Xenopus tropicalis: one gene and its partner. The protein of the gene in region 1 interacts with the protein of each later gene in a biochemical or structural test. Links are inferred from orthologs where the notes say so. Each region holds a gene or a part of one and is shown in the gene's direction. Other genes may lie near its edges.

What was found.
Region 2: of the proteins of mbp (region 1) and cdk9, one has a biochemical effect on the other in vitro, tested with the Homo sapiens proteins (2 studies listed by BioGRID). The link is inferred for Xenopus tropicalis from reciprocal best matches to the Homo sapiens genes MBP and CDK9.

The regions. Positions count from the first base shown.
Region 1 is NC_030682.2:98,825,190-98,829,655, forward strand, and holds the start of mbp (myelin basic protein), read left to right. Parts: upstream 1-1,455; 5' UTR 1,456-1,650; intron 1,651-4,466. UniProt on the Homo sapiens protein: The classic group of MBP isoforms (isoform 4-isoform 14) are with PLP the most abundant protein components of the myelin membrane in the CNS. They have a role in both its formation and stabilization.
Region 2 is NC_030684.2:24,559,215-24,562,784, reverse strand, and holds the end of cdk9 (cyclin-dependent kinase 9), read left to right. Parts: coding exon 1-18; intron 19-809; coding exon of another isoform or gene 810-827; coding exon 828-1,006; intron 1,007-1,088; coding exon 1,089-1,260; intron 1,261-1,870; coding exon 1,871-2,019; intron 2,020-2,331; coding exon 2,332-2,697; 3' UTR 2,698-3,013; downstream 3,014-3,570. UniProt on the Homo sapiens protein: Protein kinase involved in the regulation of transcription.

The DNA.
Region 1 (4,466 bases):
ACCATTTTATTGTAGAATCAATGAAAGATTTGTCTTGGGTAAAGGTGCCCATACATTATAAGATTTGCTCATTTGGCGATATCCCAAAAAAGCAGATTTTTCCCCAGTATGCCCACGTAAAGTGGGTGCTATCAGGCTTAATTAAAACAACAGAGATAGGAGTGGTTGGAGTGAGGACCGCATCCATGAGCCAATGCGGTCCCTGATCTGTCTAAAAAAACCAAACTTGCCTGATCGACAGTCGATTTTTGGTCAGAGAACAGTTGGATAGAGCTGTTGGAGGTCCCCATACACAGGGGGATAAGCTGCTCATTGGTTAGCAGCACAGCAGTGAACTGCTGCCTTGCAGGACTGGCAGGGTGGATGGAATCGGAAGCAAATTTGGGTACCCGGAGTCGGAGGAACATAAACTGAGCTGTTAGAGTCAAAGGATTTATGTGTGGACTCCATAGCCCTGCCAGGGCTGTGGAGATAGATTTGTGGGTCCAGAGTTGTAGTCAAAAGCAATTTTAGGTACCAGGAGTCGGAGTCAAGGTACCATAAACTAAGGAGTCGGACTTGAAGGATTTATGTATCAACTCCACAGCCCTGAGGACTGAGGTACCAGGCCTGACTTCAGTATTGGGTAAAAGGAGATTAGAGTAGCCTGAGAATGGGAGGTAATGAGAAGTGAAAAGATCACCTGGACCAAAAAAATAAAAAATAAATAGCACCTGGGCCGCTTTTCTAACAAATGTAATGGTTTCCCAGGTTTAAAAAAAAGTTGGCTTCCAGTGGGGCAAAAGTAGGACAAAATACACCAGAGAGGGCTGAAGTGATGATGTGGGAGACTCCTCTTAATGGATTATGATGGGGGGAGCCTTTTATACAGCTAGGGGGGATGCTGGATCACAAGCAGTGCAGTCACCATGATTTCCAGCACTTGTGTGCACATGATCTTACTGTGCCACCCCTTGCAATTCCTGTTGTTACTTTTGCAAAGATATATTTAGGGCAGGGTCGCTATGAGTGTTTAAAAACCTTTCTGAAGGCTTTATTAAAGTGTCAGGTCTGTAGGCAGTTATCACGTTTCTGGTGAGATGGCAGAGAATGTCACTGAGGTATTACCCTTAGTTTTCAGTTTTGCTATCCCATTCTGCCTCACTATTACCAACATTTCACAGTACACAGCATTCTTGCTAATGGCCGTCCCACTGAGGTGACACAGCTCACCTTCATACTAGTGAGCGCCCTAGAACTAAGGCAGCCAGGTTTGCAGCACACGGGGAGAGAATGCAATGGCATTCCAGCAGGGGGCGCATTATTACCTCCGAGTCCGCACTGACATTAGCAGCAGCACCCACACGGAAGGGGAGAAATCACGCACGGTGCTGCACCTCTTTGCGCTGCAGGAAGAAGGTTTCCACGGCCCCATCCCGGTGCTGCTGTAACCTGCACACACTGCTGGGGGTGGGGCAGGCTGGTTAGGCGGGAGGAGGGATACGGTGCTGAGCCCCGCTGCGAGGAAGACTGCACAGCCTGGTGTCACCTACAGCCCCCTCACCTCAGAGATCAGCTGAAGGCTCTCCCCAGAGCTGCCCCCCACCTCTCCATCGCTGCTCATCGCTCTGCAGTCCTCGGACCCACGGGAGGCGCCTTTATGTGTAAACGGTGGGTGCTATAGCGGGTGTCCCTCCCCCTTCCTATGCCCTGTTTGTATATCATGCGTGCAGGGTCAGCATTGGCTTTTATTGCCCCGACGCTCCCATTCCATAAACACGGTGCCATGGAGCAGATTCCCCAGACTGGAATGTAATGGGCTCCTGCAGCCAGAGATCGCGCCTGGAGCTGCTCGCTTATTGCACACAGGACTGACAGGAAATCTATCTCTCTCTCTGTGTGTGTGTATATATATATATATATATATATATATATTGCAGTAGATGTAGGTTACACCGAGAACACTTCTTGATTAACGTGCGGCCTTCCAGCTGTTATTAACTATTACCCCCAGGAAACACTGATATCTTGGAAGTTGTAGTTCAGTAGCCGGGGGCCCACAGGCTAAACGAAAGCCAAGTAGATTTGGGCCACAGAATAGGAGAGACAACCATATATATATCAATGGGGGGCACTGGGTATAGTGCCATTGTAGTTGGGCCATTGGTGCCTGACGGAAGCCCTTTCTACTATTGCTGTTTTGCTCAGGTCGCTTCCGGTTTCATGTACTGTCAACTTACTATTTTTTTTTCAAGAAGGCAAAAAAAAAAAAAAACCAACAACTTCTGTATTCCCCGCCCCCCACCCAGGAAGCTGAGCTGTAGTAAAGTGAGGGAAGAAGATAGCAAAATAATGTGGTGTGTTTGTCACTTCCTTTCTCTGCTTTGAACACCTGTGGCTTGGCTGCCAGCATATCATGCAATGCACACAATTAAATCATTGCCTAATCCTCTCAGCCTCCATCATCATTTTTATTATCCTATGTAGTAGGGCAATTTACCTCAGGGCTGTACTTATTACAGGGAGGCCTCAGTCATGCTGCAGAGCTTCATATCATGCCATGACACAGATTTACACACCACTCTGCTGGATTCCATTTTCAGAGGGAAAATTTATGTTGGAATGTAAATGCCTTTCTGCTGGTTTCACGGAAATCACACAGACATTCATTTTCTGGGCAACTCTATAGAGATAAAATGGGATGTGCTGTTAGGCTGGCAAGAACTGTAGCACGTGTAGAAACCTCTGTATATAGCATGGTTTATATCCATTTCTTACACATTATTATTAACATAAACATGTAAGATGCCATTGTATTCCGCAGTGCTATAAAACAGAAGTTTTGAATGTGAAGGAGGCCAAACATACTTATATTTATTGGGGCAGTTTGTCCATTTTTAGCCACACTGCTTTATCATCAACCACACTGCCTGCAACATCTTTGCATTTCAGTCTTAAGCTCTTAATGTACCTGCTGATGCCACATGTGGGTGGGTGCTTGGGTATTGACAGGTAGGCAAGTTAGAGAAACCACAACACCCACTCATTTCCTCTCAAATCATTTTTACCAAGTCAGTCTCATGACAGATATTTGTCGGTTCATTAATCTAGCAGGGAAAACTTCATTTGCCATTTTACTATTTCCACCAGTGCATAGTGCTTCAGCAGATGAGAAAGCTGCGTCTCTTTTTCACTTCCTGCTTTTCTGTTTGTGCTCTCATTCCAAATGAAGATAACAATATAAAGGTGACTGCCATGGATGACCCTTTGTACAGTATCTGTTCATGTGGCCCAGTTGCCAATCAGTTCAATACTGCGCAGGATCATTTATGGCCACCTTAGGGTGAAGACATACAGAGCGACTAGTAGCAGCTACTTGTCACAGCTACTAAAATAAGCAATGCTGATCTTTTACTGATAATTGTCTCTACATGTGTTTTACAAGAGGCAGTTCTCATTTTTGTCTTTGGCAGGGTATTTTCTGGTGTTTAGTAGCCGTGAGAAGTATCCGTTCATGTGGCCCAGTTGCTAATCAGTTCAATACCGCACCGGATCATATATATATATATATATTTACTCTTATGGGTGAAGACACACAGAGCTACTAGTAGCAGCTACTTGTCACGGTTAATACAATAGGCAATGCTGATTTTTTACTGATAATTGCCTTTATGTATTTTTTACAAGAGGCAGGTCTCAGTATTGTCTATGGCAGGGTATTTTCTGGTGTTTAATAGCTGTGACAAGTGGTTGCTACTAAGTAGCTCCATGTGTCTTCACCCATAAGGGTAAGAACCCATGGAGTGGTTCAGAGGGGCTTTTCACAAGCAACTCCTATTGTTGCCTTTTCGGAGCGGTTTGTCACCCACAATAGCAGAGATCTATCGCTGACGACTGAGTCTAGGTACTTACCCTAAAGCTGGCAATACACAGGCTGATTGAAGCTGCTGACGTGGTCCCTCCAGATCGAGTTATCAGCTTATTGGCTTGTGTATGTAGGCATCACTGTATGATGCGTTTGTTTGCCCCAGGGGCAATGACCAGAGCCCAATTCGGCCCAGGGTATGGGTGAATAGAGATCCGCTTTTTGGGGACCTCACTGAATGGGGTGAATTTGCCAGTTTAACAAAAGATTTGATCTGATGAAAGTCAGCAGTGTAAAGAAAGTGTTAGAGTATATTTTGGTAACTGATATCTGTTTTTAACCTATGTAATCTAAGACTGTATGGATTATAAAATAATTAATAAGAAAATAAGTAGGATAAATGAGAACACTTCCTGCTGCCCTTAATATAGGTTTGCACTAACACATAAAGGCAATGTATTTATTTCATTTGTCGTGACTTTTGCCTCTGGCAACCAAATACCATATCTGACAAATAAGACTACTGTGAAAAAATAGATGGCACTAATTTGATGTTTTTTATTGCAATAGATGTGTTTTTATGATCAGCTATAAGTGGGCTGATTGGGGTACACTCACTGTT
Region 2 (3,570 bases), on another chromosome or scaffold:
AGATCTGTCGGACAAAAAGTAAGAAACATTTTGTGTCTCTCTCACTTTGTGCTGCATGTGCTGTGTTGGGGGGTTGCAGCTTGGGTGGTGGCTTTTACAGCCAAAGACACACACAGCATGGTTGTTGTGAATGTCCTGCCCCTTAGACTCCCTATCTCTGTCTGGCTCTGTCTTTCTTATCCTGCTTCAATTGAAAACCAAGCCAATGCCATACACATTGCATGGAAGCTGCAGCATCTCCTCTGCCAGGTGTAGAACAACCCAGTCCTTAAACCCAGTGACCCAGTCCTTCAACACAGTTTAGGTGGTGTTGGAGGGTTTCCAGTGGACTTGACAGTATTGGCTTATAAGCAATTTGACTGGGAGGGGAGTGTAGGGAACCTTGCTAAAGCAGATCACTCTATTTGTCAGGGGCTGACTTTGCGCCCTTTTGGTATATCAGTCATACTCTATTGCTACCCCTGCTGCCATAAGTCTAAATAGCAGTGCAGTGAGCTTTGCTATATATATGCATCGCATTGTTTTGGGGTAGACTCTTGCTCAATAAATTTGGTTACCTCTCTATGGCCCTTTAAAAGAAATATGTTCCTGGCAGGGGAGAGTGGGGTATAAAAGTGGAACCTAGCAAGACCAAATTATTTTTGGAACTATGTAGAATGCTAAGGCATAAACTCATAGCCAGAGTTGTGCCACAGTGCCTGCATTTGGTATGAGGGTCCCTGATGGACACATTTGGTCCTGCTTGGTGTCTGCCCTTTGTAAATGTGCAACTGTTGTGCTTATGCTGCTTTTGTGGGGCCGTGCTCTAGACTCTCTTGCCCACCTAGTTTCTCCCACAGCCAACCAGTACAATAGATGCAAAGGAACTATTTTCCTGGTGTTCGACTTTTGTGAGCATGATCTAGCAGGCTTGCTGAGCAATGCTCATGTCAAGTTCACGCTCTCCGAGATCAAGAAGGTAATGCAAATGCTGCTCAACGGCCTCTACTACATTCACCGGAACAAGGTGAGCAAGTGCTCCATTCTCTTCCCATCCTGGGCATTTACTGTTCTTGTAGGACCTGTGTCTAATGGACTCATGCCCACAGATCCTGCACAGAGACATGAAGGCAGCAAACGTACTGATCACCAGGGACGGAGTGTTGAAACTTGCAGACTTTGGGCTTGCCAGAGCATTCAGCCTTGCCAAGAACAGCCAGCCAAACAAGTACACCAATCGCGTGGTTACGCTCTGGTATCGGCCCCCTGAGCTACTCCTAGGTAAGGACGGTCATGTGGTTATATGCACTAATAAAGTCTGAATCCCCCAAAAAGGGAAGCTGTCGGGTCATAACATTCATGTCTGATGGAAGCCATAATAATAGTCTTTGCAATTGATCCAGCTCTGATGCAGGATATACTGTTAGCTAATGTATATCTTAAAGGGGACTTTAACTTTTAGCATGTTTATAGCAGCTTTTCAGTAGGTCTTCATTTTTTATTTATTGTTTTTGCTTTCCCCTTCTGACTCAGCTTTCACATGGGGGTCACTGACCCCAGTAGCCAAAAAACTATTGCTCTCTGAGGCAACAAATTTATTATTGTTGTTACTTTTTATTATCTTTCTAGTTAGGACCCCCTTTATTCATATTCCTGTCTCTTTCAAACCTTTGCCTGGTTGCTAGGTTAAATTGGGTCCTAGCAACCCAATAGCTGCTGAAATTCCAACTTGAAGAGCAACTGAACAAAAAAAACTAACACAAATGAAAAAACAAAAGTCAATTTGCAAATTGTTTCAAAATAGCACTCTGCATTAAATTAAAAGTTAATTTAAAGATGAACTACCCCTTTAAACAGTGTGGATAATATTTTTCCCATTTTCTGCTTGTAGGAGAGCGTGATTATGGTCCTCCCATTGATTTGTGGGGAGCAGGGTGCATCATGGCTGAGATGTGGACCAGAAGCCCCATTATGCAGGGGAATACGGAGCAGCATCAGCTAACACTCATCAGCCAATTATGCGGTTCCATCACACCAGAGGTGAGTTTTAATGAATTGCTCTGGTCCAGGATCATATCTAGGACTAAGTGGTCTCATTGGTCGTGGGATAACTAAACTAAAAAAAAGCAATTTACATTAATTATGTTTTATTCAGTTTCAGAGCTATTTAAGTATTTAAAGTTTTTAACTGCCAATAATGAATTTTTTAACAATGCTGTCACCTGCTGGTTGGTTCCTGTAACTGTTGTATTCTGATGTTGCTCTGCTTAGGAAAGAGATCAGAACCCTTAGATATCTGTAAATCTAATTAAACACCTAAACCGGATAGTTTATTTTATTAATATATTTTAGGTCTGGCCAAATGTGGACAAATATGAGTTGTACCAGAAGCTGGAACTGCCCAAAGGCCAGAAAAGAAAGGTGAAGGAAAGGTTAAAGGCTTATGTGAAAGATCTCTATGCACTGGACCTTATAGACAAGCTGTTGGTTTTGGACCCGGCTCAGAGAATCGACAGTGATGACGCCCTGAATCATGATTTCTTCTGGTCTGACCCGATGCCTTCTGATCTGAAGAACATGCTCTCTACTCACAATCAGTCCATGTTTGAATACTTGGCACCTCCTAGGAGAAGAGGCGGGCACATGCCCCAACAGCCAGCCAATCAGGCACGGAATCCTGCTGCCACAAACCAATCAGAATTTGACAGAGTCTTTTAAAGACATTCTTTATTATTTATTGGGAGGAAAAAAAAGACTTTTTTTAAAAATATATATATATTTTTTTTAATTCCTTTGTAAGTAAGCCTGTATAGTATGGGGAATAAGGACTAGCTGCATACTTTTGTTAGCATAATGATATTCAGAAGCGTGGCATTCGTGAAACAAAACTTTTAACTGTGATACTTAATCTAAAACTCTTGCTACCATGCTGATACACACTGGTCAGTGAATCGAAAGTTTTCCGAACAGCTTTCTGTGCTGCTGTACCTATGTACTTGATAGGGAATGTAAATAAAGTTTTATGTTCTCCTATTATTTTATGGCTTTCTTTCTTGCCATTTTAAATTATTATTAACATTTATTTATAAAGCACCAACATATTCCGCAGCGCTGTAAATAATCTGTTATTTCCATGGAACATAGGTTGTGTTCTCCACCAGTGTTTTTCAGCCAGCACATGCTGGCCATGCTGTTTTATTGGGAAATACAGGTAAAGTTTGAATAAATCATGGGCCCGGATTCTCCAGGCAGACACTGACTAGTGATGAGTGATAACATGCTGCCTACCCTGTTTCCACATTTTGGGGGATGGCCATTTTATGTATAAAACATACATTGGTTTGCTAAGTGGCCTAGTCCCTGCCCATAAATTGCTTCTACAGATATTCAGCCAATCAACTAATCATGTGATCCAATTGTTACTGAGTGGGCTACAGTTGAAACAGGGTCATCCATTGATAAGAATTGCCATGTTTGTGTATAAGGCCAGTTTGTACATATATTTGACTGGACGACTAGATATTCCAGAATGCTTTGGGCCTTTCCTAGTGGGGGCTAAGATTTATTATACCCCAGTTCTTCTGTCCCAAA